Arabidopsis thaliana: one gene and its partners. The protein of the gene in region 2 interacts with the protein of the main gene of each other region in a pairwise test. Each region holds a gene or a part of one and is shown on either strand. Other genes may lie near its edges.

Region 1 (10,791 bases), on a different chromosome or scaffold from region 2:
GGTGGGATATATATAAGATATAAAAATGTAAGGGGTTACTTTACAAATAAAATAGAATAGAAACAAAACGTAGACGTTTAGAGCGGTCCTCGTCAACTACGACAACATTAGAGATCGATCGTCGTCGTCGTACCCGTCAGACTCAAGGAAAAAGAAAAAAAGAGATTCCGCCGCACGTTGTTCTAATCGAAAAAAGCGACTCTCAATAAATCTGTCTTCCCTTTTCTTTCTTAAACTGGAAGAAGATTAATCAATCAGACACAACAGAGATAACTGATTTATCCACTTCAAACAATACAAACCTTTAAAGTCTTCACCTTTATAGAGAGAACTTTTAATGGTGTGGTTGACGAATCAACAGATAGGGAGATGGAAAAGGAAACGAATTTTGGTTGTGGGATCGTTCCTCTGTTGGTCAATCATCATGTTCATCACTCCCAAAGTTCCTCTCGATTCATTTCGCCATCATATCTTCGCCGATAAACGCAATTTCATGGGTATCATCATCATATCACACTCTCTCTTCTTTTTTTTTTATCTCTCTCTGTCTCTGTGCATGTGTAATAACGAGAGACAGGTGTTTTGTGTGGGTTTGATGATGAACAGGAGTGCCTAATACATTGAATGTGATGACCAACTTTCCCTTTCTTATCGTTGGAGTTCTTGGTTTTGTTCTTTGCATTGGAGGAAGCTTCTTCAACATAAGGTATCATTCTCTTTCCCTTTTTTGAGTTTTATTTTGAGTTAGTTTAACAATTTGAGTTGTTGTAATGCAGTTTAAATGGTGAGATCTGGGGATGGACACTGTTCTACGCAGGCATTGCAAGCTTGGCTTTTGGTTCTGCTTTTTATCATCTCAAACCTGATGACAACAGAATCGTCTGGGACACTTTGCCTGTTCGTTTTTCTCACTTTACTTTTCTTCGGAACATGAATCTTCTTTCAGTTATGCATTCATTGCTTCTTGATTAGTGATGCGGTAATTGTATATATTGACAAGCACATTGTGAATACAAAAAGTTGAAGAATCATCTTATAGCTATGTAAAAAAGCTTAGATTAGACTTCATGGTTTTTCTTGGATTGGTTGGTTCTACAAGCACATAGTGAAGTGAACACAACTCTTATAGCTAATGGAAAGAAGCTTTAGAGATTTTTCGGGTGTAGAGTTGTGGTTTTTGGTTTTATTGAATGGAAAGTTGTTTTTGCTCATCATTTTTGATGGTTGGTTTATGAATAGCTGTTTGTTGATTAATGACGGTAAATTGCAGATATTGATTGCGTATTCGTCGCTTTTCTCTAGTTTTTTGGTTGAGAGAGCGGGGGAGAAAGTGGGACTTAGTTGCCTCATCTTGCTTCTATTTATATCATGTCTCAGTGTTGCTTACGCCAGGTAACATTAAAACCAAGAAAGCATTACCTCCTCTGTATACATATATGTTCATGGTTTTAGTCAGGTTTCGGATTGAAATTATATGTGTCTTAGTTGATGGCAGAGTGTTTAATGATCTCCGGTTATGCATGACGTTCCAGTTGATACCGTGTCTGGTGATTCCCGTCATGGCGGTTTTGTTACCTCCCAAATATACACACTCTAGATTCTGGCTCTGGGCAACAGGTTTTTAACTCAAAACCACATTTGCGGTTTTCTTATTAGAATCCACGGTCTTCTGATATCTGCTTATCATGAATGCAGCGGCGTACACTATTGCCAAGATTGAAGGACTTGCAGACAACAAAATATACAATGCAAATCGATATATCATCAGTGGGCATTCACTGGAGCATTTGTGTTCTGCCGTGGCTACGCTTTTACTTACCATTATGCTTTTGTATAGAAGCATTCGGTTTAATAGGTAACGTTTTTTCACTGACTCTTTCTCTTTGATCTTTGAGTTCCTTGAAACCTGAGAGGATTTTTCACTTTTCTTTTGTATGATGGAAACTAAAACAGATTAGGTGATCTCAAAGGCCGTCCTTGACATTCATTACTGACTCCTCAAGTTTTTTTTCTCTTGTATTTAGATGCTTCTGGATTCTTGTATTACAAATTTTGTTTGGTTGCTAGATAGATTTTGACCCATGATCCCACTAAAACATCGTTAGCTTGGTGTAATCTTGGTTTCTGGTTCTGAAACAGCTTTGGCTTTAAGGTTACTTATTCAAGTCTTATATATGTGTTTGGACAATGGACAATTTTACATGTAGTAACTAAAAAGAAACCAAAAGAATAATCATAACTCACAAATACACCTTTTATTTTCGGTCTTGACTTGTGACCTGTTTCTTATTCATATGATCACTTTATTGAGGACTTTAAATCATAGCACAGAATGTGGAAAAATCCAAGACAGCAATAGCATTATAGAAACGTAATCATACAATTCATCTAAAATAGCAACAATGATGAGTAAATCTCGGAGTTCATAGTCCTTCAAAGAAACGTAAATGGTCATCGAATGTCTCAGCATGCCTGATCTTAGTGATCGACCCATCTTCTTCAACCTGCAAAAAGAAGAATATAAATCAATCACTTTCTCTCAGGATCTTGACCCTCCGCTAAATTTCCGCAGAAAACGATAATAAGAAACAGTATTGTTACCCAGTATTCCGGGGGACGCATCTTGAGATTGTAAGTGGAAGCCATACTCATACAGTATGCACCAGCGTCATGAACCACCAGACCAGCTCCCTGTAACGTATACAAGAAACTAATTAGATTCCATATTACTTGAGCTGCCAAACATAATCAGATCCTTATAATACCTGTGGAGGAGTGGGAAGCTCTCTGTCTTTGCCCAAGAAATCAGCAGATTCACAAACAGGACCCACTACATCGAATTTGGTAACCTCTGCTTCAGGCGGTGTAGGAGAGACCAACTCAATATGCTTTTGCGTTAAAAAACAAAAACAAGAGGATGTTTAGCTATAGTTCAAAGGGACTAGAATCTGCAGATGCTGTTGTGAAAAGTATATTTGTTTTACCTGATAGGCATCATAAAGACTGGGACGGATAAGCTCAGCCATACTTCCATCAATCACTATGAAGTTTTTAGTTCCATTCGTCTTCACACCAGTTACATGGTTGACGAAACAACATGTGTTTGCAATCAGTGATCTCCCTGGCTCGATTATTAGATTCAGGTCTCGTGAAAGAACCAGCTCTCTTACCTATGAAACACATCCAGGATTCTAAAGATTCTACCATTCCAGTACTTTTGAGATCAAGATAAAGAAAAGAGTTTTGAGCTGTTGTTCTTACGGTGTTGATAAGATCCATGGGTGTAGGAAGGACAGCGCCGGCATGATAATAATCTATCCCTAAACCACCACCAATGTTCAAGTAGCTAACCTCAAAGCCTTGACGCCGGATTTCATCAATGTATTCAATCATGAGAACCGCAGCATCTCTGAATATATCCACCTGAAATAAACAGAACATACGTGAATATGCAAAGCTCAAGACTCAAGAGTTAAAATTTAAGAGATTGATTACATTAAAACACAAATTAAAAGGAACTATAGTCGGAGTTACCTTTGTAATGGTAGAACCAAGATGACAATGAGCTCCAACAAGCTTCAGCTCTTTGGGATGTGCCTTCACTTCATCCAGAAACCATTGAAGCTTCTCGTTCCTAATACCAAACTTCGAGTTCTTGTTCCCAGTAGCTACATATGGATGCACCTAAAATGGTAACAAACAGAAAAAGCTCATTCATATCCAAGCTAAAGAATAGATTCTAGGACATGCTGCTAAAAGATTGAAAATTTAACCATACCTGAGGATCAACATCAGGATTGATACGCAACAACACATTGACCTGCTTACCAGAAATTCTTGAAGCTTCCACAATGTTATTCAAGTCAAACTCACTATCAACATTTACGAAAACACCTTCTTGAGCAGCTAGAACTAAATCTTCCAAAGACTTTCCATTTCCATTGAAAATACACCTATTCATTTCATCCACACCGAAGACATGGTCAAAAACTACACATCAACATGAGACCAAATAAAAAAATATTCAAACTTTATTATTGGGGATAAAGAATCGTACTTTGTGGGATCGAAACCAGCAAGAAGAGCAAGCCTGAGCTCATTTCCACTAACCAACACAGCACCACAGCCCAAACTCCTCAAATGCTCCAAAATCTTGAGATTGTTATTAGCTTTAATAGCGTAACCAATAACAGATCTCACTCCTTCCAAAGCCTCTTTATAAGCCTCAAGGTTTCTCGTGATCTGAGGTTTGCTATATAAGTAAAAGGGTCGTTTCTCGACTGTTTCCATGATATCTTGAACCTTGGTTCCTTCGCAATAGAGAAACCCATCTGATGATTTCTTGAAACAGTGGTCGAAAGAGGAAGCAGATTCTTTCGTGAGGGTTTTGGTGGAGTTTTGGGAAACGGCGGCTTTGACGGAGAGGCGTTTAAGTGGCTTCAATGTTGACTTGAGAGACAAAAATGGGATTCTTGAGAGTGAAGTCTGATTCAATTGGTACTGATTTAGGGTTCCGCGGATTGATGAAGGTTGGGAGAGAAATTGAGTAACTGCCGCCATGGCTGGAGGATTTTTGTTAGGTGTGCGACTGTTACAGTAACACTGAAGGGTTTAGAAAAAAAAAGTCAACAAGTTTAAGAGTAGTTCCTGTCGGGTCCGGTTTTAGATATCCGACAATATCGAACCGGTGGTTATAGTCGAACCGATGGTTAAAAGAAGAAAGAACAAAGTCGATTTTAACTTCTTTTGGATATGGTTTTTGTCCTTGGGGGATAGTTTCTGCTAGTGTTTGTTTTGTTCGGTTGTGTTAGTTGTGTGTTGTAATAATCTTGATGCTTAAGGGGTCACCTAAAGCAGTCATGGAAATCTAGCCCTATCTATAAAAATTTGCCATTTCTCATCACCTACCAATACTTCTATTTGTTCGTATTATGCGGATATTCAGAGGATAATGTAAAACATTTTGTTGAATGCTAACGATGAAGTGCTCTATCTAGCCGTGCACGTTGTGGAGAAGTTATGTTTTAGAATCCACATTTGTTGAAGTTATGCTTATCATACTCTCTTAATTATCTATATCTATTACAAAGAGCAAGGAATGTTCTTAGTTAGGATTTGTTTTGTTTGGCAACCATTGCTTCTGGTTATTTGTGCTCTGCCTCCTTTGTAAGTTAGGATTTGTTTTATTCTTACAACTTTGCTTCTCTCGTCATACTATATAATCTCTGACTATGTATGTAATTGCATTCATGTCGATGGTTGTGGGATGTATATTTAGGTGTTTGACTGTAAGACGTTAAAAACAAACTTTACCATAAGTTATTGGGATGTCTAGACACTTTTATGGTTTGGTGAAGTAGGCTCAATGTTTTGCCCTTTATGTTTCCATTGTTGATGTTTATGTACCTTGCTGGTTGGAACCACTTGTGGATGTTTCCGACAATGCTTCTCTGTAATGCAGTTATCTTTTAATGAAATGTGATCGATCTTGAGTGTTATTTATTTTTATTTTTTTAAAGACTTTATGGTGTGGACACTTGACCGGGTGATAATTGGTAACTATACTACATAGTTAGAGAGCTCTTGAATTATTAATCACGCTAAATCTTGGGAATTGAGAGCTCGGAAGCAAAGGTTATTAACAAAATTCAAAGCAGAGCAGCATTGCCGATGAAATAATTATTGACTTGGGATTTACTCTCTGAAGTCTGAACCAAATCGAGATTATTCTAATTATATTTTTAATTTCGGATCCCTAATCTATTAATACTCCAATATCTGCACTCATTTAATTATTTCCTCTTTTTTTAACCTGCACTGACTTAAATTCAAACTTATTTCAATTGCGTGCACACTTTAGTGAACTACTACCACTATCACTATATGTGTCGGTGGATTATTATTTCCGTCATTTTGATATTTAATTACATCTTTAATTGTTACTCTTTTTTGCCCATTCTTCTTCTTCATTTGATTACATTATACTCTATTGTGAATTACTAAATTCTGAAAACAAGAAAAATTTGAGTACACAGGACACATCTTAGTATTACTCGTTACTAAAATACTACACGTGTAAATAATTTTTTCAGAAATAAATGGGGCCACTTTGTAAGTAATAAATCAGCTTACATTAATTATTTTACCACCCAATAAAAAGATTCCACAGACTTGGCATGGAAGTCATGAACATTCACAAAAATCTAAGAAAAACTGAAAACCGAAAAAAAAACAAATTATTAAAAAGCAATAAATAAATAAACTCAGAAAAAAAAGCTATTAAGATTCCACAAAAACTCTGTATTGTCTCTTTCTCTCTCACTATCTCTCTCTCTTTTGTGAGCTCAGATCTGACCAGAGAGAAAGAAACAACCGGAGAAGAAGAAGATGACTGACCGAGTCTTCCCAGCTTCCAAACCACCAACCGCCACTAATGGAGCTCCACCAGTTGGTTCCATACCACCTCCTCCAGCTCCGGCGACTGTAACCAGCAACGGAACAACAAACGGAATGGCTAATCAGAAACCTCAAGTCTACATTCCAGCTAACCGTCCGGTTTACCGTCCACAGCCTTACAGTCGCCGTCATCACCACCAATCTCGACCAAGCTGCCGACGAATTTGCTGTTGTTGCTGTTTCTGGTCGATTCTGATAATTCTGATCTTAGCTCTCATGACTGCAATCGCCGCCACCGCGATGTACGTGATCTACCACCCTCGTCCGCCGTCGTTCTCCGTCCCGTCAATAAGAATCAGCCGCGTGAACCTAACAACCTCCTCTGATTCCTCCGTCTCTCATCTCTCTTCCTTCTTCAACTTCACTCTAATCTCAGAGAATCCAAACCAACACCTCTCTTTCTCTTACGATCCTTTCACCGTCACCGTTAATTCAGCTAAATCCGGTACGATGCTCGGTAACGGAACTGTTCCTGCTTTCTTCAGCGATAACGGTAACAAAACTTCGTTTCACGGCGTGATCGCTACGTCTACAGCGGCGCGTGAGTTAGATCCGGATGAAGCTAAGCATCTGAGATCAGATCTGACGCGCGCGCGTGTAGGATATGAGATCGAGATGAGAACTAAAGTGAAGATGATAATGGGGAAGCTGAAGAGTGAAGGAGTAGAGATCAAAGTGACATGTGAAGGATTTGAAGGAACTATACCAAAAGGTAAAACTCCAATTGTAGCTACTTCTAAAAAAACTAAGTGTAAGTCTGATCTTAGTGTCAAGGTCTGGAAATGGAGTTTCTAGAGGGAATTTTGATAATTTCACAATTGAAATTTTCTATATAATCTTCTTCTTTTTTTCTTCTGGATTTTGTGAAACTTTTGGAATGATCCAAAAGGAGATTTCTTCAGTTGTTAGTTAAAAAATTTCAGAGAAGAGTCAGAGAGATAAGGTATTGTCAAGTAGAAGAAGGCCAGAGAATTCACGGCTTCTAAAAAAATTTCTTGGATTTTTGTTTTGTTTGGAACTTTCTTACTTGAATTTATATTTAATGGATACAGAAATATAAATGTAATACTTGTAACGAATGGAGTACTAAAAAGCTGGAGATTGCAGTGACTGCGTGATAGTGAGCATTAAAGTGAGATCGTAGTAGTAATAAACAGAACCTTAAAAATGGAAAAGATGCGTGGGGTTTGTGAGGAGAACAATGAAGAACACGAGAGATGTGTTAAATGTTAGATGTTGAACCATCTATCGCATTATACAACACCATTTAAGAGAAACGTGAATCGTCTTTAGTACTCTATAAAGCAAGCATATATTCTAGCAGTTGCATGTTATAAAATTAATACAGATCGATCACTCAATTCATGAATATGGTTTGATATAAACATTAAATTAAATGTCATGCTGTCATAAAAGATGAATTATATGGTTCATTTATCTAAGAAACTTTTTATTAACTAAGTAAGTAAAAGTTTGAAGAGGTCATTTGCAAGTGACTCCGACCAGGGATAGACTCCTGAAATCTTATCCAACTATGGACGACGACTTCATGTCGGTGTGTCCAAAAATGAGGAAAAGGAATCTGCCCAAGGGACAAATGGCATTACCCGAAACGGCAAAGAAGAACCGCAGGAAAAAAAGTTGACAATAACGTATGAGGTGTGACTGAAAAAGAAAAACTTGTAGTTTGGTTTATGACGTAAATGAATAATTTGGAAATGACAATAAGTCATCATATCTAATTTAGTGCATGACCTCCAACGTCGGCATATATTTGAGTCGGTGACCGGATATCCAGTACAAAGTAAAGTACAAACCAAAAAGAAAGACAAGACAATAAAATGGGTAAAGAAGACTTGCATACACGGACGTGATAGAAGAAGACATGCATAGTATAATTCTGACTTTCTGAGACCTTTAATGAAAATATTTGGCAATGTATTTCAAGAATAACTATGGCATATCTCTTAGATTTTGTGAAAATAGCCCATAATCGAAGAAGATGATAGTAAAAAACCGAGGCCCAAATAGAACCCATTTACCCAAAATATCAAAAAGATTAGTCGTTTGGCAATGAAATTAGAAGCCCAACACATGTCCTAAGCCTTTTTCACTTTTCTTCACTGTTTGGTTTTCCGACATCATTAACTTCGCGGGGGCAAGCGACTAACAGAAGAAAAAAAGCGACTAACAGAAGAAAAAAACGAAAAGGATTATTCCGCCGTAGAATCCATATTCTCTCCCTCATCACTTTGATAAACAAGAGTCTCATTTTTCGCTTTTCCAAAGGGAACAACTTCTTCGGATTATTATCTATGGCAGAGAAGCTTGAGCCGGTGAAGGTTTTGTACTGCGGAGTTTGCTCTCTTCCAGCGGAATACTGCGAATTCGGTCCCGATTTCGCTAGATGTAAGCCCTGGCTCGTCGAAAACGCCCCAGATCTCTATCCTGATCTCCTCAAAGGTACCTTCAAACCCTAATCTTATAATTTTCGACCGTTCTTCAGAACTCGTTTGATTTTAGGTTTGTAGTGCCTCAAATTTTTTATTCTTCCAAGGGCTAAGCGATTCACACAATCGAAAAGATGAAGATTTTTGTTTTAACTTGAATTATAAATTTATGGGTCTGTTCAATTTGGTGATTATGTTATGTTGGATTGTCAATGCTGTTGTGTAGAGTTTTACGATTTTTTGGTACCCTTTACACTTCTGTTTTACTGGTTATGACAATGAGTTTAATTTGATTTAAGACTTACTAATATTTGAGTTTGCATACGAATTTTAAATTTGTCCAGAAGCAAATGAGAAGGCAGCAGATAATGTTTCTGACAAACTCCAGTCGGTGGGAATCTCTTCAGGTGGTGCTGATGGGGCACCATCTTCAGCTCAGACTGGTAAGGAACCGTGTCTATGTGTGTGCTTTTTCTTGTTCATACTATTGCATACACGTATTTGGTACTGTACATCGCTATGAAAAATTCCAAACTGAATGGCTGGAAACATCTTTAATGTATTTGTTTTTCTGGGGAATCTGCAATCGAACTGTTAAGCATGAACGATAAATATTGCTAGAGTCACTGATTGGTGATGATGCCTATGTTGAAAGGATTTGGCTTTTAGTTGAATTTCTACTCAGTAATCAAAGGATCTTCCAATATATAGGAGGGACATCCAAGAAGGAGGAAGTGAAGCGCCTACCTGGGGGGAAAGTTAAAAAGAAAGTAAGTAATATCGTGTAAATTTCGTCCCACCTTACTGGAATGTCTTAATGCATTACCAAGTTTCCATGGAAACGTACAAAACAACATGCTTGGACATTCCCTGACTCACATATCTACGTTTTGCTTTCTGGTTTCCATTCCTTCGTCTTTGACGTGGACATGTTTGTCCGGTTGTCTAATTTTCTAATGTTTATGGATGCTATATAGGATCGACAGGAAGTTATCATTGAAAAGGTTGTACGCAACAAACGCAAGTGTATCACCATTGTGAAAGGACTAGAACTGTTTGGTGAGTTATTTACTTCTTTGGTGATATATCTTAGTATTCTTATTGCCTGGAACAAACCTCATTCATTTTTAACCCTTGCAATTTGTTCGTCAGGGATAAAACTCAGTGATGCCTCTAAAAAGCTTGGTAAGAAGTTTGCCACTGGAGCATCAGTTGTCAAGGTATGTATGTAGAGGATGAATCAAAAAGCAAATATGTATACGAGATAGTTTTATGCTTAGACAGATTAGTGGTATTCGGTTTTGTTCTAGCTGATATTGTTGAGCAGAGCTCATGGTTCTTTAGAGTTTGTAACTGCTTTAGACCTGTTGTGGCTCTAATTTCAAAATTTGGTGTCCAGAGAAAAGTATGAAATATTCGTCCCTAGATACATGACTTTTAACCCCTTAGTTTGTTTTACCTCTCTCTTCCTCTTATGCTGAGATTTTTCTAATTTATTGTGTTTCAGGGACCAACTGAAAAGGAGCAAATTGATGTTCAAGGGGATATAATCTATGATATCGTTGAATTCATTACAGACACTTGGCCCGACGTAACATGACTTCTCCTTTTCTAATTTGTTCTTGGTTCTCACTGCATTCGTTTGAAAACTTATGATTGTTACTTTGCCAATTTCTAGGTACCTGAAAGATCCATTTTCTTCATCGAAGATGGGAAGAAGGTTCAGGCTGGTTGATGATCACCTTTGTCCTCGTTTTTTGGCATGGCGGGTTCATGTAGACGAGCTAGTTCCTGAGTTTTCCTATGTGTTTGGAGGAAATCGCATCTTGATTATAACTTTCAACGTAACGTATAGTTGGATTTATCATACTATTTTCTTATTCGG
Region 2 (10,791 bases):
GAGATGATGAATATTGAAGGTTTTCACCTCGTCCTTCAACTCCTCAACATCCGCTTCTAATCTCGACATCGTCTCATCCGACTTTATCTCCACCTCGCCGCCTTCGATCGACGCCTCGAGAGTCTTGATGTTTCCATACACTTGATTGAATTGAAAAACTTTGGCTCCGCCACCTTCGTATCGTCAATATAGGTCTTGATCCGATCCAATCGCTTCTCGATGAGCTCCGCCATCTTATCAACCGCCGACCTTTGAACGAAGTTGTCATACTCCAACCGACGCTCCCAAAGCTCTTTTCTCCCTGAAAAAGCACGTTCAACTAAATTATTATACTTTCCACTCATCTTTTCAACCTCGGCTCAAGATTTTGTCTAGATCGGCCAACGCTTGAGCAGTCTTGCCTCTCAAACAGCGAGCTCAGCACAAACACGAGTTAAAAGCAAAAGGAACGCCTCCTTCAAACGAAACGATAACTCCAATAATGATCATTGGCACGCAAAACGCATCGGACGAGTTCGGAACACTCGCTCGTTGTTCATCACGATTAACGACCCTCGTCTCTTCCCTCTCCCCCTCAAAGAACCACTTTCGAATGACTCGAACATCCCAACTTGAACACCAGACGACCACTTTGATCCAGGAGGCTCTTCAGAAATGTGACGGTCACGCAACACTCGAGGCGGCCCCTTTTAACCTTCCTTGTCGTCTCGCTTGACTATCACCGAGACAGCACATCGTCGTGATAGCAGCCTATACTTTGAAAGCCATGCGACGCTTCGATCTCCGAACCTTGAGAAAATTGAAAGACAAACCAAACATTGCGTCTTCCCCATGCGCGACTTTTTACTTCCTTCGATTGAGTTTCGAGCGCCTGAAATCCTGATCCACGTCATCAACGATGCATCAGGATTGGGGGGCAACTGTTAGGGGTCGGATTGGGCCTACTTGGCCCAATGCCCAAACCCAAGTCAAAACCCCAAAATAAGTTCCAAGGTTCAGCTATAAAACGAATAAACTCTATTCTTCCTCGGATATCAAGATCGTTTTCCGGCCTCAAGCTCGTCTTTCATCTACAATCGGCTCGTTCTTTTTCCATTTATGCTTGTTGAAGAAATCATCCTTTGTAATCCGTCCAATTCGCCTAAGTCGCGGGCTCGTCATTAATAGAAAGATTCTTCTTCCTTCCCTAGAGATCCCATTTTCGTACTTGTGTGATTCGTGCATCAACAGTTCCATGTTTTGATTGACGATTTCCATGTTTTGCTTACCGATTTGCATCTATAGATGCTTCTCAAAGACAATCTCGCTAGAATCTCCGTCAATATAGCCTCCGGGAGATGTATTGGTCTTTCCATTCGGACTTTGGGATTAGGGTTTCTAGGATTAGGGTCTGGAGAAAGATCATATATAATACAAAACGTAACATCTAAGTTAAGATTCCTAATTCAAAGACTCGGTTAAGTCTAACCGGAACATGAAACACAATTTAGCAACTTCCAAGAAGAGAGAATATAAATGGGAAAAAATGAAATTTCATTCACTCATGAGACATGAGCAGATTTCGTTTTTTTACAGGGAAAATGTAAAGTAAACTAACAGAAGACACAACACACTAGTACCTTGAATCAAGAACATGTTTCTCCCGAAACAGAACATGAACTTGACAAAGGAGAACACATTCAGAGGAACCAAACTCTATTGGAACCTACAAAACATAAAAAAAAAAAAAAACATTGTTCCTAAATAGAAGAAAGATCTTCGTAAATGGTCTTAATACCAGGTCTCTCAGAAACTGATCTTATACACCTCAAAGCAATCCCAAGAACTTCTTTCATGCCTTTTTCTGTTACCGGATCACTTCCCATCTCCTGAGTCAATACCGAATCAAAGCATTCTGCACCACGCCCTTCTGCAACACGTAACCTAACCCAATCGGTTAGATCAACACCTTCTTGCTCACCTGTGATTACATCTCCTGCACATCTTCCGGTTAGGATCTCAAGAAGTATCACACCAAACGCATATACATCTGATTTGAAAGAAGGTAATGGTTTTCTTGAAGCTGCTAGCTCGGGAGCTCGGTAACCGAGGATTCCTGCGTCTAGAATCTGTTCGACTGTGCCTGCTTGTGTCATGAGACGGTGGAGGCAGTAATCTGCCACACGCGCGTTTAGCTCTGCTCCATCTAAGAGAATGTTTGTTGCCTTGAGGTTACCGTGTGGAACAGCTCTGTCGAAATGGAGGTAGTTTAGACCACGTGCCACATCAACTGCGATTTTCAACCGTTGGGTCCAGGCTAAGGGAGGGCCTTTCCTGCCCGGTCGATCTGTCATCAAACAAGAACCGTAAGCTTGATGAAAAATACTGCACATACATATAATACTTAGAGAAGTTTATTGAAAGGAGCATTACCGTAAAGGAAGCTGGCAAGGCTTCCAGGCGATATATAATCTGAAAGAATAAGCTTCTCGTGTTGCGTTGGACCCCAATAGTACCCTCGGAGAGTCACAACATTAGGATGTCTAATGTTAGAAAATTTCTTCACCTCTTTAGCAAACTCCTTTCTCTGCTTTGCCACTCCTTCTCTTAGCCATTTCACTGTTAGAAACACTCCATTATCCAGCGTTGCCCTGTAAGAAGTGCCGTGGCTACTTCTTCCCAGAACTTCAGCTGGTGCCCTTGATAATTCCTCTGGAGTCAACTTAATTGAATCATCCAGAAAATGCAGCTCTCCCACAAGTCTATCTGGTGACCTCACATCAAGCCGTGCTAGTTGCTGATCAGCTGGGAATGAATCTCCTGAGCCAGGTGACCAAGACAAATTGCTGGTCTTAGAAGGAGAGAAGCCGGTTGCAACAGCTAGTTTTTCATCTGGACTGAGGATTTCGGATGATGAGCCTTTTCTTGAAGCAACCAGATCCTCAGCAGAGACAACCATACCACCTCCGCTGCCTGAGGGGATAGTTTGAGCCCGCCTATTAGTTTCTTTACCAGTAATACTACGTTCTTCGCGCCTTCTTGATTTGCAGATGCAGAAAAGGAGGATAGCCACAAGGATGAGAATAATTAGAGCAACAGCGCAAGAAACTATTATGACAACCTTAACAAGTTTGTTCGTGGATTTATTCTTGGAAGCTTCTGATGCACTTGATCCAGGGGACCCAGCAGGCAAGACGAGCTTGCTGTTTCCAGGATAAAAGGAAGGCGGAGGGAAGTTCTTCAGATTCTCTGGCACAGTCCCTGATAGATCATTATATGACACGTTGAAGGCCATAATGTTGCTAGATAAGTTGCTTGGGAGTGGTCCAGTGAAATGATTCTGGGATACGTCTAATGAGCTTAGAGAGACAATGTCATTCATGGAGCTAGGCAAAGAGCCAGACAAATTATTTGCTGCGAGATTCAGCACTTGAAGATTGGTTAAAGACCCGAATACACCAGGAAGATCCCCGTCAAACCGGTTGTGAGAAAGATCAAGAAGACGGATTCTGGAACCAGAAGAAGGCAGGGGTCCGATGTTACCTGTCATGCCATTGTTTTGAAGGTGGATTTCCTCCAAAGTGGGCATGGATAGTAACGCACCTGGAATTGGCCCTTCTAAGCTGTTAGAACTTATATCAAGTACCCGAAGCTTCGGATAGTGAGTTGGAATCCGTTCTGGAAGTGAGCCTGTGAGCTTATTGTAGGAAAGATTAAGATGATTTGCTCGCAGAAGCTGGGGAGTTGCGTCTGGGAACGACCCAGTGAAATGGTTCTGGCTTAGATCAAGGTACTCTATATTCTCCCATTTTGACCATCTTGTCAGATTTCCTTCAAACTGGTTGTTTGAGAGATCGAGTAAAACACATCCCCCAGTCAAGAGAGGAAGCTCCCCGGTCAGTGAATTTGAAGAAAGATCAAGGGTGTGAAGAGTAGTTGACATGATAGAACTTACTGGCCCTGAAACACAAAAGGAAAACCAATAAAAAAATATTAGATTTCTAGTTTTCTTGGTGCCACCGTTAACATATAACAATTTCCACTATGTAGAAGATAAAGCCAAGAGCATACCTGAGAGATTGTTGCCACTTAAATCCAGCGTTGTTAAAAGCAAAGAGTCACCTTTTAACAAATTATTGGGAAGGGAACCTGAGAATCTGTTGTTGCTAAGCTTGAGAACTTCAAGATCATAGACATAATTGAAACCTGGTAATTCTCCAGATAACATGTTGTAGCTAAGATCCAAGACTTTTAAGTTCTGAAACAACTGAAACCCACTAGTCAATGAACCTTCAAGCTGATTATGGCTGAGATTCAAGTGCTTGATACTCTCAGAAACACCAGGTAACAGTTTCCCAGACGTCGTCACCAATCTGTTTCCACTGATATCGACATAGCTCGCATTCGTTAAAAGGAAAAACTCCCCATCAAGATTACCATCAATTGAATTACCATGCAAATCAAGCACTTCAAGACTTGAAATCAACTCAAAGCCCCTTGGCATTTTCCCCGTGAATCCATTAGAAGACAGATTCAAGTACAGCAGATCGTTCAGCCTTGTCAAGGACTTTGGCAAAGGTCCAGATAAGGAGTTGCTACTCATATCCAACGACTGAAGTGAAATCAAACCACCCATAGACTCTGGAATCTCACCAGAAAAGTTGTTACCAGATAAAGAAAGATTCCTCAAGCTTACTGATCTACCAATCTCTTTAGGCAATGAAGAAGAGAACAGATTATCTGATAAATCCAGGAACTGGAGGCTTTTGAAACTGCCTAAATCATTTGGCAACACACCAGAAAGGGAATTGTTTGACATAGATAGCTTGACAAGCTTTGTCAAGTTGGAGAACAGACTGAAATCAGCATCAGCAGTCAAACCCAAATTATCCAAAACAACACCAGCCACATTACCGCCATTGCAGACAATACCATTCCATGAAGAAGGACAACCATTGAAGTCAATAGACTCATCGTTCCATGAATTAAGGACAAACCCTGTAGGGTCATGTTTGATGCCTTTCTTGAATTCAAGCAATGCCATGATGTCCTGTGATGGAAGTTGCCCCATTGCAGATAGAAAAAACATGGAGAGTAACAAAATCCTAGAAAGATTCATCCTTCCTTGACTTCAAATCTTTTCCCCCAAAAAGCTACAGTTTTTGAAGAATCCCAACAACTTTTCCAGCTCACCAACGCAGAAAATTCATGGAACCCCAAGTAAATCTGACATAAAACATAATGAAATAAGACAAAACCCATCAATGTTACCAAAAAAAAGTTTAAATCTTTCTGCAAAAATCAACAATACCAGAAATTTCACTCTGATAAAAAAAAAAACAGAAGCTAAAGAAAGAAACTTTACCTAAGATGAACAAATCTTCTGAGAAACCCCAATCAAACAAAATGCAGTAATGCTACTGAGTGAGAAGAGACAATCTTCACTCAAAGGGAATCAGCTGAAAAAAACATTAAATGAACAAATGGGCTATTCAATATTTGGGTCCCATTCCGAGATCTAACCTAACTCCAAAGCAAAGAGATAAATGAAAAGTGAGGATTTTTAAACTTACGGGGATGAAAAAAGCTTCTCACTGCAAGAACAATGTCGACAGAGTTGAAGAAGAAGGAAGACAAAAACTTTAAAGCAGAATCATTTTGTTCATTAGCTCATGAACTGCACGGGGTTTTGGATTAAGCTCAACAGTGTTGTAGACTGAGTCACTGAGCTAACTGAGGGAAATCTTTGTGGGTCACTTTAAAAATTAAAAACCCTTAAAAGATTGTCACTGTTTAAGAACAAAAGAAAGAAGCCAAAACAAAATTAAAGATAGAGAAAATGTTTTGCTAGTTTTCACGTTCGACAGTGACGAACGACAAGGACCTTGTAAAAGGGTAAGTCTTGAAGCGTGTGAACGGACACCAAATCAAAAACCCTAAATAAAAAGTAAAATAGCAAGAAATTATTTTCATGGGTTCACGAGAAGAAAATTATATATTAATTTACTTTTTCATAGTCTTTTCAGTGAGGAAAGATTTAAAATATAGTTTAATTACCCGCCTGGAATGGCCCGGGAAAGGAATCCAAAAAAAATGAAAAAAGCTACTTACACTAATGTTTTTAGTGAGTGTGACCATGGTGGACGTGAAAGGGTTTATCCAATATGGTTATGAGTCTATGTCCTTGCCTTTAGTGAGAGAGATTTACAGCATTGGGAAAATAAGCGAAAATTGCGCAGTGTTCTAATAAATTTTGGTAGAAACTTGCAATAAATGAATTTACATAAATAAATAATAGGGAAAATAAAAAGAGTAATGAGAGTTCGGAGTGAATGTTATTTACACCAAAATACAGATATTAAAAGCTTGCAAGGAAAATGTGTAGTAAATGAAACATGATTTTTTGAACAATCCAGAAAAAATAGTAATGAATATTCGGACAAATAAATATTTTTGAAGTTGATACCACATTAATTAGTAGGAAAATGTAGAAGCGAAATAAATACCGCGTAGGAAAATGGGTCCCACATGCTGACTACGTTGACTAGGGAAGACCGGAAGAGACAAGGGCATCAGACCAATTATTTGGGTTCTACTGATAATGTTGAAAGTAAATGTCCGGGTTCAGAATAAATTAATAGTTAAGGGGTCATAATTCAAAAAACAAAAATCTGAGTGTTTTGATGAGATTACACACTTACGTCTAAAACTCACTCTCATTTGCTAATTGTTAACTTGCTCTGAGTTTGAAGAAATTCATCAATGGCGATTCGCAGAGCGCAAACTCTACTTTGTCTTTCTAAATTCAAAACCAATTTCGTGTCTGGGTCGCTCCACCGGTTCTCTTCTTCGTCTCAAAATTCAAATCAATTCCAGGTTCTGCTTTTTAAATTGTCTTCATGATCAGAAAACATAATCTCTTTTCCTCATAAGTCACCTAGAATTTTATTGAAACGTTCTAAAACATGATCCTTAAGGTAGTTGGAATAAAAGATCTTAACTTTTGTAATCTCGAGCATAGTTAATAAGAATTTTAGTGGCCAAATTGCTTATTGATCTTGACCACTTATCTAAATTCATCAGTTCTGCAAAAAAAGTTGTCTGGATTAGATTTTTAACAGCAAAATTTGTCTGATTCAGTACCCAAAATTTATGTAAATGAAGTCTCATTTTTGCTGTTTTGTCAGAATGTTGGTTTCATAGGACTTGGAAATATGGGATTCAGAATGGTGAATAATCTAATTAGAGCTGGATATAAAGTTACCGTTCATGACATGTAATGTACTTTGAGTGCGTTTTGCTGCCTATCAATTTTCATATTTGGTTAATGTTGATTCCTTTGATTAACTTTCTTGTGCATATACTTGTGTTTGAATTTTCAGAAACCGTGATGTTATGAAAATGTTCACTGAAATGGGAGTCTCTTCTAGAGAAACTCCTTATGAAGTTGCACAAGATAGCGAAGTTGTGATTACAATGTTGCCTTCATCATCTCATGTAAGTTATTTACCTTTAGCAATAGTTTTATATGAAAACAGTTTGAAAGATCGTCCTGTTAGCTGTATGATTAGCTGCACCTAGTCTACGAGATAGTATTGTTGTTTACTCCTGGTACTGAAAGAATGTTAATCTTCAATTGATTGGATGATTTTTATGAAGGAAAAAAAATTGTGATTGATGTAGGTGATGGATGTGTACACAGGAACAAATGGGTTGCTTCTTGGAGAAAATGATATAAGACCTGCTTTGTTTATAGATTCATCCACTATTGATCCACAAACAACTCGAAAAATCTCACTTGCTGTTTCTAATTGTAATTTGAAAGAAAAGAGAGGTAAAGCTTAGATAGGATTTGGAAGGAAGTTAGTTTCTTCTTATGAGTTAACAACAGCTTCATTTTGTTCTTCTTGTGAACAAGTCGAGATTGTTTCATTTTCACTAGTTTCAAGCATCTTTGATGTAGATAATTGGGAAAAGCCAGTCATGTTGGATGCTCCCGTCTCTGGAGGTGTTCTTGCTGCAGAAGCTGGTACACTTACTTTCATGGTATGTTGACGACTCTCTTATCTTCTACATTATTTGAATCACATCCTTTATATAACATCAAGTTTGAAGATTATGTGTGCTTGTATACCTACAAGAGCACAATGGCATTGATACAACTGCACGTTCTGTAGGTTGGAGGTCCCGAAGATGCTTACTTAGCCGCTAGACCAATACTTCAGTCAATGGGCAGAACCTCCATCTACTGTGGTGGTTCAGGAAATGGATCTGTAAGTTCGCTTTATACCATGTTTCCGTAACTCTGTTACAGTATCTCTATTATCTTGATCTTTGGTATATTTGTCTCTACAATTCTTAAGGATAATAGACTGAGAAACGACATGTTTTGTTTTAAACTTAGGCCGCAAAGATTTGTAACAATCTGGCAATGGCCGTGAGTATGCTCGGCACTTCAGAAGCCTTAGCTCTTGGTCAGTCACTTGGAATATCTGCCAGTACTTTAACAGAAGTCTTAAACACATCTAGTGGCCGTTGTTGGAGCAGGTAAGTAAATGAAATGACCTCTTCAAATTTATAATCGTCTTCTCATCAAGAGCAAGCACACCAAATTCTTAACTTCCTTTCCTTATATTATGATAACCGCAGTGACGCATACAATCCAGTTCCAGGAGTGATGAAAGGTGTGCCATCTTCAAGGGATTACAATGGCGGTTTCGCCTCCAAACTTATGGTCAGTTTCTTAAGAAATCTCTATATCATTGATCCTGTAAAATGTCTCTAAAGCACATTTCTTTTGTTACACAAGTCTTTCATGTATATAGTGTATTGGAAATGCAGGCTAAAGACCTAAACCTCGCAGCAGCCTCAGCTGAAGAAGTTGGACACAAAAGCCCATTGATATCCAAAGCACAAGAAATGTGAGTACTTCAGTAGTCTTTTCTCCTAGAAGCTCTATTCCTTATGAGTTGTTGTGAACAAAGAAGGCTTGTGAATGAAACTTTATGGAAACAACGTAGAAATTTCTTATGAAGCAAAAAGCACACACATCAAGCTGAAGATTTTGTTTTTTTGTTTTTGCAGTTACAAGAAGATGTGCGAGGAAGGACATGAAACGAAGGACTTCTCTTGTGTTTTCAGACACTTTTACAATGGGAAAGATGAGGTCTGAGACAATCTTAACAACGACCCTGCAAAATAACCGGTTTCTTTGTGCATTTAGATTGTTGATTTTCATTGCTAAGAATAATAAAAGTCTTGGAAAGGCTGTGATGTTAATAAGCGATGTGAATTGTAATTAGTTTGAGAACATCTCTCTGGTGTTGAACATTACTCTTGGAATCACCAATCAATTAGTTATGAGGTCAGCGAAGAATAAAGCATGAAGGATCCTATAGAGAGGATTAAACAAAGCTCAGAGTCAAAGTTCTAAACTTTTCTTTTACCCGGAAAAAAGTCAACAACAATTCAAACAATAGTCACCTATGGTGTAATTACATTTCTTAACAGTGTTACTCGCTAACCAATCCGTAAATATACCATTTTCCTTATCTATATTCGTATTTAATTTGATTATTAATCATTCTTGGCTATTTACCTAAAGTTAATGAAGATTCACCTTCGTCACCAATGAGAGAACCAAACCATTTTTGCAGAATCTCCGGTACAATTACGGAAACAGTTGTTTGTGTTAATATCTACAATGTGAAATGACTACAACCACCCTCGCTTTCTTCAGCACACCGCTACATTTGAAATCTCCCAACTTTTTTCATTCTCTCTGTTGCTCAAACTAGTTTCCCTCAACACTCAAAGGTACGTCTTTGATCCTTCTTCTTGTGTTTCGCTTCGTTACTTATGGGTTCTTTCTGAAATTCGACTTCATCACACCATCATTTCTGTTTATGACAATTCGTTCCTCGTAATGTTACTTCAACCTCTACCTGTTTTTCTGCTTCATTCGCGCGAAAAATCGTTGCTTTTGACTCATGTTCCTCTGTTTCATCTTACTGTTGTCTGTCTTAAAACCTGAAGTCTCCGAATTTAGGTCATCATCTTGTATCTCTTTCAAAAACCCTAGTTTTTTGGGGTTCTGTGCAGTGAGCAGCCGTACAGTTTGCACTGAAGTTACCATCTTTCATGATCTTTGAAGTATCTATATGAATCATAGATAGTTCTTTTGTTTGTCTCAGTGTAGAAAGAAGCCTCAGTGAGTTTGTAATGGCGGGTGAGGAGAAGCAGACTCTTACTCCAAAGGAGATGATACTTCAGAAGTTTGGTGTTAAAGCAATTTACAGAATTGAGGAAGTTCATGTTTCTTCGAATGATTGCCTCTATCGTTGCCACTTGCAGCTACCAGAATTTTCTGTTGTATCAAATGTCTTCAAGAGAAAAAAGGATTCCGAACAATCTGCTGCTGAATTGGCTCTCGAGAAGGTATACTTTTGACACATCTCTCTGCTCTTATTGTTTAGTAGACTTCTTAACACTGTTTATGTGAAAAAGTACAATACTATTCATGTTGCAGCTAGGAATTCAGTCTCAGGATGATGATGATGTTGATATAACTGTGGATGAAGCTTGGAATAATATCGTTGAACGCATTAAGTATATATTTTCTGATGAGGTTAGTACAGGTCATAAGCAAGTCCATAGTCCAAAAGTTAATTTGGTTTTTCTCTCTATTGGCATTAACGTTTAAGTTGTTGCCATTGCAGTTTCTTTCAGTTGATCATCCTCTAGGAGGTCACCTAAGGGCGGCATTGCAAAGGGATGGCGAACGTTGCGGATCACTTCCTGTTTCTGTCATTG
Region 3 (10,791 bases), on a different chromosome or scaffold from region 2:
TGAAAATATGACATCTTCATTAACGAAATGTAGAACAAGGCTCTTGAGTCTCTATACAAATTAGAGAAAACTCAAACTTATATTAAAAATCCTCAAAAACAAGTTTAAACCATGCTGGCACTTCAAAATTTGTGGGATGACATTGCCTATGTCGATGTGGAGGCCAATCTGATACTTGCATGATTCTTCAACTTTCCCGCTTTGATCTACCTCTGCCCGATGTAAGAATCGACGTGTGATTTGCCATTTTCTTGCATGGGACCATCACAAGGTCGATGTGGGTCAGGGTGAACGATGTGAGATCTAGGAGTCTCATAAACTTGTGTTCTCCCTTAAACGTCTTTTAGCTTGATCCATTCCGCTACATGCTATGTTGCTTCTCCCCTTTATTCTCAAATGTAATCCAAATTTTAATCTTTTGTAAGGGGAGAATTATAAATTATGAATTTAAACTATATATTGTATATCTATCTATTGAAACCCATAATTACAAAAAAAAACTAAAAAAAGTTTTCTAGTGCCGAAATTCGATCCCGGAAACTTTTCAAATCCGGAAAGCCATCAATCAATTAAACCGGAGAAACAACAATCGAGATAAATTAAATCCTTGTGTTACAGCGGATCTTTTGATAAGCAATGAATTTACACTGTATATATATTTACACAAATAACAACAGATAAATTAAAAAAGTTTCCGCTGCCAGGATTCAAACCTAGAAAGCGATCAATCGATTAAACTAGAGAAACAGCAATCAAGATGAATTAAACCCTTGTACTACAACGGATGTTTTTGATAAGCAATGAATTTACACTGTATATATTTTTACACAAATAATTACATATTTCTTTTTAAAAAAGTTTTCTTATGCCACAGATCGAATATGAGAGACGAATTCTTTTGATAGGCAATGAATTTGGTTTGTGGATTTCAAATTTAGGAAAGTTATCAATCAAGATGAATTTAACCATTGTGCTATAGTGAAACTATTGTTAAACTAGGAATTTACACTATATTAGGGAAAGACTAACATGACCGAATAAATGAAACACAAAAGACGACTAACATTAACGAATAAATGAAACACAAAAAAACGAGTTTAATTAGGAATTGAAGTTCAGTTCAAAATTAGAAAGATTTGTATCACGAAAGTTCAACATAGCAAAACAATAGATGAGATCGAACCATGTGACATAACGAGGTTTAATTAAGCACAATCCTAGATTCTATTCCTTAGCCCACCAAATAACAACTACTTAAGTTTCATGACACTGTTTTATGTTAAACTTCTATGGAAACAGTGTCAAGTAAATCAATTGATGGCATTCGTAGATTCTATTCAAGTCAATCACCTAATTATGTTAAACTCTATCTGAAAATAAGATTATGTAATAGGCTTACTAATCATCCTAGCATCGCCTCATGGCTAAATAATGGAAAACTTATTAGATTTGTGTTAAGTAAATTCATAACGGCCATAACCTCCTTTAGGACATGGAAAAGCCTAAATGAACTGTATGATCAAACTTAATCTTGTGGAGAATGATCACACATCATAAAGATGAGAGAAGATTTGAGTAGTATATAAAAGACATTGGATAATTCATTAATTACCAATTGGTTTTGAGTTGGAATCCCATGAAACTTAACATGATAGGAGAGTCCAAACACACGTTGTCTGACTAATCTGGCCAGAAAGTTGTCTGAGCATTCTACTAATTGATGGTTTAAATGAAGATTCAATCCTATCGAGATAGATAGAAAATCATTATTTCGAAGAGACGAGATAGATTCTATCAAAATTAATGGCCAGAAAAGCTATTATTTTGAGAAAACGTGTGGACAAAGATCTCATATTTAAGCTAGCTCATTGCCAGAAAGCAAACAGGATAATATGGAGACACCAGACCAGACGTGTGTAACTAAGCAAGAGAAATAAGTTTACATAGAAAGCATCAAAATTTCTGATTTTAGCACAATATGCCAAAAAAATCGCCAAAAATAGTAAAACGACGAGGAATTAAAGAAATAGAAAATGAGAAAAGTTTCTTGCTGACGATAACGAAACTAGTCTAGTAAATTGAAGAACGCAACTAAGAAGAAGTTGGTTTCAAAGATAGCTTAGAATGATGCTGTAATATTCAAGCCATGACCAACTTTGTGAACCAGATTATTTCCCTTACACTCCAAAAGAATAAAAAGAAAACTAAGAAAGATAAATCTTAACTAAGCGTTTGGAAAATGATCATGAGTTCCAAATATATATCTTGATAACTGATTCCATATCTGCTTAAGAAAATAAATGTGCCTCCGTAGAAAAATGGAACGTAACTAGAGTTTTCAGACCGTAGCAACATTCAGCTTTGTCCACTTCCGGAATATTGTCATAAGCAAAAGAGATGATGATTGGCAAAATATTCCACATATCAAACCAATCCACAAACCCTGTCGCCATCAAAATAATGAATCAAACATAACATAATCAAACAAAATTTACTAATCTTATTATAGAATCAAGCAATACCTTGGCATAAAACTTCAACTTGAAACCACAAAAGGCGGCAATCGGCATTCCAATTAAGTAGAATGTCGCCAAATTTATAACCGTGACTAAACGCTGCCATCCGCATCCTCTTGCAACTCCTGTAAATAAATTTAACAATGATTTTTACCACCCTAGATGAGTAAAAAAAAAAAATATATATTGGATCTTTTACCTGATAAAACTCCTTGGATTGAATCAAGAGTTATAGAGGCAGCAAGAAAAAACCTCAATGATGCAAACTCCTCTTTAATCACATAGCTATCGCTAAATAACCCAACCCAACCATCATGACCTACGAGTAAAACAATTACAACGCCGAGAGCAAGAACTAAAGACAACTTTACGGACACAGAGGTCGCCTTCTTTGCGCCTTTTACATTTCCTGCTCCAAGTTCATTGGACACACGCGTACTGCAATATTTATTTTCGATTTTTACATTTCCGAAACAATATTTTTCAGCAAGATGGAATACAAAGTATTTTGAAACTATCTAGTAAAATGAGCAAACCTTGCAGCTGCACTAAGTCCGTATGTTAACATGTAGCTAATCGCCTCCGTGTTGACGCTGAATTTATTTAACATAACACACATTGAGAAATTTGATATAATAGATAAAAAAAACATTAACTACCAAAAAAGTGATATTAAAAATATATATTTTTTACCATATAGCGACCAAAGAAGTATTGATTTCCGGGTTTGGCATCACTCCTGCCAAGAACACAAGAATCTCGAATGCCCAATATTCCAAACTGTTGCAACAATATAGTCTCTTAAGCTTCAACAAGCCTAATGATATTTTTTTTTCTTTTTGTCAACATGTACTATTTGGTTTTGACCCCGGGTATGATTACATTGACTAATATAAACCACTAGGCTAGATATAACGGTCAAGAAACATATATACTTACCATACCATAGCAGCAGAAGGGAGGCTTAATGTCAAGTTTATTACGATATAACGGAATGATTCCAACGAAAATCCAGTCCATGTTTCCTTAAACTTTTCTGAACACATCACATAAGTTCCAAGCGAAAGGAAAGCTATCCACAATGAAATAGATGTAGCTATTGGAGCACCAATGAATCCAAGCCCAGCTACATAAACAAGAACATATGCGGTAGCAATGTTTATCACCAAGGGAACAAACGAGAAGATGACTAGTGGAGCAATGATCGATTGTGTTTGGCAAAATCTCAAAATATTTTGTAAAAACCCGTAAGCTAGTAAACCGGGAGCTTGGTACTTCATATAGAGTGCAGCTTGTTTTGAAATGCTAGGATCTTGTCTGAGAAGTCCAAAAATCGATTCTGTGAAGAACCAGAAGATGGTGATGAGGATGCTGAAAACTAATGAAACGATGCAAGATGATTGTAGATGAACTCCCAACATCCTGTATCTTTTTGCACCAAAGCCTTGTCCACATAATGTCTCAAGTGATCCACTTAACCCTACCTGAAAACAAAGAGACATTAATGTATGTCATAAACAAGCACTTATACATATATACCGTTGGCCAAATGTTCTTGAAGATGTCGTTAATAAAAATTTAGACAACTCCTAAAATCATCTACTAGTCATTTATGTCGAATAAATCATTTTAAACAATCTTGATTCTTGAATTCGAGTTCGAGTCTATTATTGAGATGGAAATAAGTGGGTTTTAGTAACTTTTGCAAGTAGACATCAAAACAAGATTTTAAATTACAAAAGCTAAAGAAATAAGGAAATAATGGTACCATGAAGGCAAAACCGGAGACGGTGGCCCAAGAATTGGCAAGGGTGGCACCGGCGAGCTCGAGTTGACCGAGGTGAGAAGCAAACATCACAGAAGTTATAGGAATACAGTAGTAGAAAACATTGGTGAGTATCATTGGCAAAGAGTAAATCATTTGAGCTTTTGCTTCTTCCACGTCGATCACTTTTTGAACCAAAGTTGATGATCTTGATCTCCTTCCTCTTTCATCTTCTCCACCTACATGGTCATCCAACAACGGAGAACTCGTTGCCGGATCAGCCATTGGATTTTCTTGTTGAAGGACTTTGGGTTTGGTTAAGACTTGAAGAGGAGAATTGTGATTTGGCAAGGTGAGGAATTAAATAAGAGATGTACGCAGAAACAGGATATTAAATACCAACACAAGAGGCCTCTCTGCCATTTACTGCCACATTATAATGCAATATAAATACATTTTTTAATTATGCCAAAAAAGATTCAATTTATTACATCCTCAGACTAATTATTTTTGGATCAGAATCAATAATCTTAAAACAAAATGATGACTTAAAAAGTCAACCAATTAAATTTGCAATGTACTATAATCAGGCAGCTCATGAGTCATGACCACCCGATTACCACCTCAGGAAACTTTGAACATTGGACTTAACTTATCGTTAAAATTGTGAATAACAAAACTTCATCAATTAAGAAATATTTCTATATTACAACAATTCACCTGTTTCAAGACATGCATAGGATTGGTATTAAAATACAAAAGTAAAACTAATGAAAATTTGTATTTGAGTTTTTTTTTTTTTTTACAAGTTTTCATTAGTTGTATAGTCACATTTAGAGAGAGTATCGTAAAGACGTCGTCACCTAGTTACCAAATCTATAGGAGAACTTTTAGATTTAAGAACGTTTTCCATACTCAAACTCAGAGTTCAGATATGGTACCCTCTGAGCAAATATTTATGTTTGTATCTGATTCGTGAAATCGAGGACTCTGATGCCATAAGATTGAAGAAGTTTCCATCTCACAAACATGCCTCGTTTATTTCATTGATCTGATTCTGTTTTTTTGGAAGAGAGTTTGTTTACAATTTTTATCTGATTCTACAGCTCATCTCCAGTACTAGGATCCAATTCTAGTCAGATTCATGGTTACTCATCTTCTTGTTTTTTTCTGAACCATGGTTACTTATCAACTAGAACCAACAAAGACAGATAATTATCTGAAATATCAATACAAGAATCCATATTTAGAAAAAAAAATTATTTTTAATCATCAAATTAATAATTAAACAGAAGCTGGTGAAACTAACAACTATCTGTTAAACATTAGTTGAGAATTGCTAATTTTGTCAAGGTTTTATGATTTACTAAGAGGTCGATTTTTCAAAAAACAAAAAAAATCGTAATGCAGATGAATTTTAAAGTAGAGCTAATTCATTAGTCATAGAGAAAAATCAATTTAGAAAGATTTATATAGCTGAATTTGGGGATGTCTTTATTTCAATATCAACAACATAAATAGGCTTAAGGTCCAAAGGAACATTAAGATATTTCTAGAACGTCTTAAGTTTAACTCAAACTGATGTTTCTCAGACTGAAACGAAACAGAGAACACTAGCCACAAACATGACAAAGCAACATAAATTAAAGAAGATACTACTAGTTACATTTATTATTTAAAGAGTACTAGACATGATTTTGGGTCTCCGCTGGTTATGTGCAAACCAAAGCTTAGACCGTTTCAAGTTCTCACTTGAGATAGTCGATGAGCCAAGCGAGCATGTCCTTGTGAGCTTCCATTGCAGCTTCAACTTCTGATGGATCATTTTCATTGTATCTAACAGTCCAACCGTGTTTGCATCTTGGGAATATCTTCACAAAACTCTTCACCTGAAACATATCACTTTGCTCACAATTATCTACTTGAAGAAGATATCTACTTCCAAAAACACATCAACTACTAGTTGTGTTTTTGTAAGTAATGAAAATATTACCTTGCATAAAGACATAGAGCTAAGCAAAGTACCTGAGGTTTAGAAGCTAAAATATCTTCGAACTGCCTCACAAGTTCTGGAGGAGACACTTGATCGATTTCAGCTCCTAATACAGCAATTGGAAGGTTGACCTCTGCTTCAATCATATAGTGAGAGTCATAATCACAACAAATGAGAGAGAACTATCAAGTAAGGAGTGGCCATATCAAAGATCTAAATACCCTTGATATCATCCACCGTAACGCGAGCAGGATGTAACAAAACAGTAGCGTCAACAAGCTTTTCCTTAGCTAGTTCCACCGCAACTTTTGCTAAAGAATAAGAAACAAAAAGTCTTGTGTTAACTAATATACATGGTTGACTTATTATACAGATCATGGAAAACATTTTCATAAAACTGTGGTGATGATGGGAACAAGAAAACCGAACTCACCACCCCAACAGAACCCTGCTGCTCCTATACTAGTTATGCCTTTGTTCTTCAAGGCCTCCACTATTGGCTTTGACTCCTCAAACCCTTTCTCCTACAAAATCCATAGTCTGGTTTCAGATACATTGACACAGAACAGTACAAAAACACTGACTTAATCTTAGCTTTGCAATCAACAATAAGTAGTGATAGCATTTTGGCACTAATAATAAGGGATTATTGGGATACTTGGACTATTTCATGCTGGGAAACAAAGACTCATTTATGTTTTTGAGAAAAATTGAGGATTGAACATTTAATAAGGAAAAGAAACTAACTAGTTCATGATCTTTCATCCAAATAGGAAACGGACGATCCTGGTTCTCGGGATTATAAGGATCTCCATGGAAGAAATCAGGAACCACCGCGTAGAATCCAGCTTCTGCAACCTTGTCAGCAAGTTTCCTATCAAGGGAAGAACAATATCCATGACAAGTTACAGCAAGAATGAAACATCTTTCGAGTGACTATAAAAGGTGATATAAACTATAACTCATTATAACAAAGAATCTGAAGTAAAAGACTGTCTAACAATCAACAAAAGACAAGCTGATTCAGTAGGGATTCTCTGTTACAGCACCTCAGGTTTGGAGTTTCATATCCTGCAGAAGAAAACGTTTTAGATTCTCAAATCAAACCAACAAATTCAGAAAGAACATCAAACGTAATTGGGACAGGTAAAAAGGTTTTTTTACCGAAAACATGAGGGACAAGAAGAACAGCAAGCTTTGAATGAGTGGAACCACAGACGTAGGTGTCAAGGTTACCGAGTTTCTCGACATGACCCGACCCGCTAGTTGGATCCAGATCAGGCGGGTTCTCGGTGCACTGATGACCTGACATTCTTGTTTTCGCCGAACCAAAAAACAAGACGACTCCTCTCTCGCGCTTTGGGACCTCTGTTTTAAAAAGTAAAGCCACCAAACCACCTTTGACCTTTCACACCAGTTATCTACACTACGTGTGCGTATCTACTCTTCCACCTAAAAAAACTCACGTGCGTTAAATAAAAACTAACTTTTGCAATGTTAATTTTTCTTAGAATAAATTTGCTAAATGGGGTAATACCTTACCTTGAATGATTGAATGATTCTATGCACTTATGCAGAGTAAAAAACAAAACCCAACAATCAAAGATTATTCTAATTCAATTATCAATTTTATCATAACAAACAAAAACTCTTTTGACAAATTATTTATGTGGCTTCCTCTAATTATCTTTAACTTTTTTTTGTTTAATTCACAATTTATGTGGTCAGATATTTTTTCTTCCTTCCACAAGGTGTTGCCTTGAAAATCACGTCGGAAGATCACGAGGAATCGTTTTGCGTGCGCCACCCAAACAGACAAAACAAAAACACTTCTTTTGTTGGTTCCTTGTCGGTTTCCAAGGGTTTTTGTTTAGGGTTTTCATTTTCTTTTTCCTTATCTATCTAATCCTCTGTTTCTCTCCACATCAAAAAAAACCTCAAAATTAAGAGACGAATTCGAGATAATGGGTTCGCTTAAGGAAGGTCAAGGAAGAGACATGGAAGAAGGTGAATCAGAAGAGCCGCTTTTGATGGCTCAGAACCAGAGATTCACTATGTTCCCCATTAGGTACAAATCTATTTGGGAGATGTATAAGAAGGCTGAAGCCAGTTTCTGGACTGGTTAGTCCTCTTTCTTTCCTTGAAATTTTCTTATGTTCTCTGTTCTTCTTGAGTTTGAACTATTCTCGGAGTTGTGGTGGATACAGTTTTGATTAAGAAAGTTTGTGACTTTGTAAATGTAAAGCTTCTTCTTTTCGTTGTTTAGGATTTTAATGTAATATAGATGTTCCATTTTGATTGTGGTTTGTGGAAAAGAAGATGTTTTTCTACTTGTAATTCTGATTCTGGTTCAGAGAATGTTTCATGTGTGTGATAGTTCTGTTTCTGTCTTATATTATCATCAATTGTGTGTTTTGACTTCTTTGAATTAATTGTAGCTGAAGAGGTTGATCTTTCCACTGATGTGCAACAGTGGGAGGCCTTGACGGATTCAGAGAAACACTTTATCAGCCATATTCTGGCGTTTTTCGCAGCGTCAGATGGTATTGTTTTGGAGAATTTGGCTGCTAGATTCTTGAATGATGTCCAAGTTCCAGAGGTGAGGATTTTCACTTTGCGGAATATTGAAAAAACTGTGGCTTTAAATGATTTTTTAGTACTGTTGTCTGACTTGATATGCTGTGGCAATGTAATATCTTGAAGTCGACACTTGCTGTTTGATTTGAGATAGTCAATTCTCTGGATGTTTCAGGCTCGTGCTTTCTATGGGTTTCAAATAGCCATGGAGAACATTCATTCAGGTAAGGCTTTTGCTAGTGGAAATATTCATTAGGGAAAGATGAAAACGATCCTCTTAATGGATAATATGTTGCTGTTTACCTTCCATGTAGTCATAGTGAGAAGAAGAAAACAAAAAAGTTTAACTTTGGTCATGGTGAATGAACATAAATATCTGTAGACCAAGGTATAAGACTTGTAACCAGTACCCTAGAGGAGTTTGATAGGGTTTGGTTGTTTAAAGATTTAACGGAATATCCTTAGATAGGAATATGACCTGGGTCATTATCTTGTAAGAAACTGATTTATGACATATTTTCTTATGACAAATATCAGAGATGTACAGCTTACTTCTGGAGACATTCATAAAGGACTCGAAGGAGAAGGATAGATTGTTCAATGCTATCGAGACCATTCCTTGTATATCCAAGAAGGCAAAATGGTGTTTAGATTGGATTCAAAGGTAACTAATTGTTGTTGTGTTTAATTTTCTGGTTGAAGAAACAATTTCATGTGATTAATTGTAAAAGATAATCCTAATTTGTTATCTGTCTGTAAACCAACCATTCTCTGCAGTCCTATGTCGTTTGCTGTGAGGCTGGTCGCTTTTGCATGTGTCGAAGGAATCTTCTTCTCAGGAAGGTATGACGTCTTTGAAATCATAGGCATTGAGAACTTATCCTATATAAGCTCTGGTGTATAAGAATTTCATGTGGTTTGGTCAGCTTCTGTGCCATCTTCTGGCTAAAGAAGAGGGGTCTTATGCCGGGTTTGACCTTCTCAAACGAGCTTATATCGAGAGACGAGGGGCTCCACTGTGACTTTGCGTGTCTCTTGTACAGGTAAGAATAGGTCTGTATGGTAACAGCAAGCCATACTGTGTTTATTGAGCCATCTCTATTATCCATTCACTCCTTATCATACATTGTGCAGTTTGCTGCAGAAGCAGCTTCCATTGGAGAAAGTTTATCAAATTGTTCACGAGGCAGTGGAAATTGAGACAGAGTTTGTCTGCAAGGCTCTTCCATGTGATCTGATCGGAATGAACTCAAACCTCATGAGTCAATACATACAATTTGTCGCTGACCGTCTTCTGGTAAAATTGTTTTCCCTCTAGTTTCTGGCATTTTGAAACATGAATTAGCTTTTTATTCGAACCTATGGTTTTTGTCTTGGTTTCTGTAGGTTACCTTGGGATGTGAAAGGACATACAAAGCAGAAAATCCATTTGACTGGATGGAGTTCATATCTCTGCAGTAAGTAGTCGATATATATCGCTGAGTTTCTCTCATCTCTAGGATCACAATGCTAAGATAACATATCAAGAACAGTAGTGTATCTTCATTGACTAAGTTGGTTTTGGTACTTTTATGACAAATTTGCAGAGGAAAGACAAACTTCTTTGAGAAGAGAGTGGGAGAGTATCAGAAGGCATCAGTTATGTCGAACCTCCAAAATGGAAATCAGAACTACGAATTCACGACTGAAGAGGACTTTTGAATGAATCCGCCATCGAATCTGGAAGGGCTCATCAAAGTTTAGATTCTTTATGAGTCACTCTCATTCTTTTTAGCCCAAATCCATTAGTAGTAGTCTAGTAAGACTAGTAGTAGTAGCAATGGATGTTATTTGTGTTCTCTATTTCACCATCACTTGTCCCTTCTCCATTGTGTAATAATATTACTATCTTAGTTAATCAAATCTATAAAAAAAAAAAACATTAATGGAACAAAAACATT

The links.
Region 1: the proteins of GHR1 (region 2) and EMB3135 interact in a protein complementation assay, tested with the Arabidopsis thaliana proteins (one large-scale study listed by BioGRID).
Region 3: the proteins of GHR1 (region 2) and ALF5 interact in a protein complementation assay, tested with the Arabidopsis thaliana proteins (one large-scale study listed by BioGRID).

What each region holds. Positions count from the first base shown.
Region 1 is NC_003076.8:3,825,383-3,836,173, forward strand, and holds EMB3135 (harpin-induced protein), read left to right. Parts: upstream 1-6,117; 5' UTR 6,118-6,387; coding exon 6,388-7,251; 3' UTR 7,252-7,769; downstream 7,770-10,791. Other genes in the region: AT5G11870 (Alkaline phytoceramidase (aPHC)), read left to right, coding at 338-497, 607-706, 777-897, 1,271-1,392, 1,496-1,617, 1,696-1,855, 1,954-1,981; AT5G11880 (Pyridoxal-dependent decarboxylase family protein), read right to left, coding at 2,424-2,504, 2,602-2,691, 2,766-2,888, 2,985-3,170, 3,262-3,423, 3,535-3,684, 3,779-3,953, 4,058-4,560; AT5G11900 (Translation initiation factor SUI1 family protein), read left to right, coding at 8,772-8,919, 9,251-9,349, 9,618-9,676, 9,884-9,965, 10,059-10,126, 10,414-10,497, 10,585-10,641.
Region 2 is NC_003075.7:11,196,987-11,207,777, reverse strand, and holds GHR1 (Leucine-rich receptor-like protein kinase family protein), read right to left. Parts: upstream 5,051-10,791; coding exon 4,051-5,050; intron 3,940-4,050; coding exon 2,413-3,939; intron 2,327-2,412; coding exon 1,740-2,326; 3' UTR 1,498-1,739; downstream 1-1,497. Other genes in the region: AT4G20947 (putative RNA-binding protein), read right to left, coding at 1-69; AT4G20930 (6-phosphogluconate dehydrogenase family protein), read left to right, coding at 6,742-6,855, 7,167-7,255, 7,362-7,476, 7,663-7,813, 7,943-8,025, 8,157-8,252, 8,384-8,526, 8,629-8,713 and 2 more; AT4G20920 (double-stranded RNA-binding domain (DsRBD)-containing protein), read left to right, coding at 10,201-10,416, 10,508-10,606, 10,698-10,791. UniProt on the Arabidopsis thaliana protein: Receptor kinase acting as an early component in abscisic acid (ABA) signaling.
Region 3 is NC_003074.8:8,452,023-8,462,813, forward strand, and holds ALF5 (MATE efflux family protein), read right to left. Parts: upstream 4,687-10,791; 5' UTR 4,567-4,686; coding exon 4,285-4,566; intron 4,001-4,284; coding exon 3,456-4,000; intron 3,297-3,455; coding exon 3,210-3,296; intron 3,110-3,209; coding exon 3,053-3,109; intron 2,955-3,052; coding exon 2,716-2,954; coding exon of another isoform or gene 2,675-2,715; exon of another isoform or gene 2,642-2,674; coding exon 2,523-2,641; intron 2,444-2,522; coding exon 2,339-2,443; 3' UTR 1,881-2,338; downstream 1-1,880. Other genes in the region: AT3G23570 (alpha/beta-Hydrolases superfamily protein), read right to left, coding at 6,030-6,170, 6,307-6,407, 6,496-6,585, 6,708-6,798, 7,022-7,148, 7,324-7,345, 7,439-7,586; RNR2A (ribonucleotide reductase 2A), read left to right, coding at 8,239-8,395, 8,713-8,873, 9,027-9,075, 9,389-9,515, 9,629-9,694, 9,778-9,894, 9,986-10,148, 10,238-10,308 and 1 more.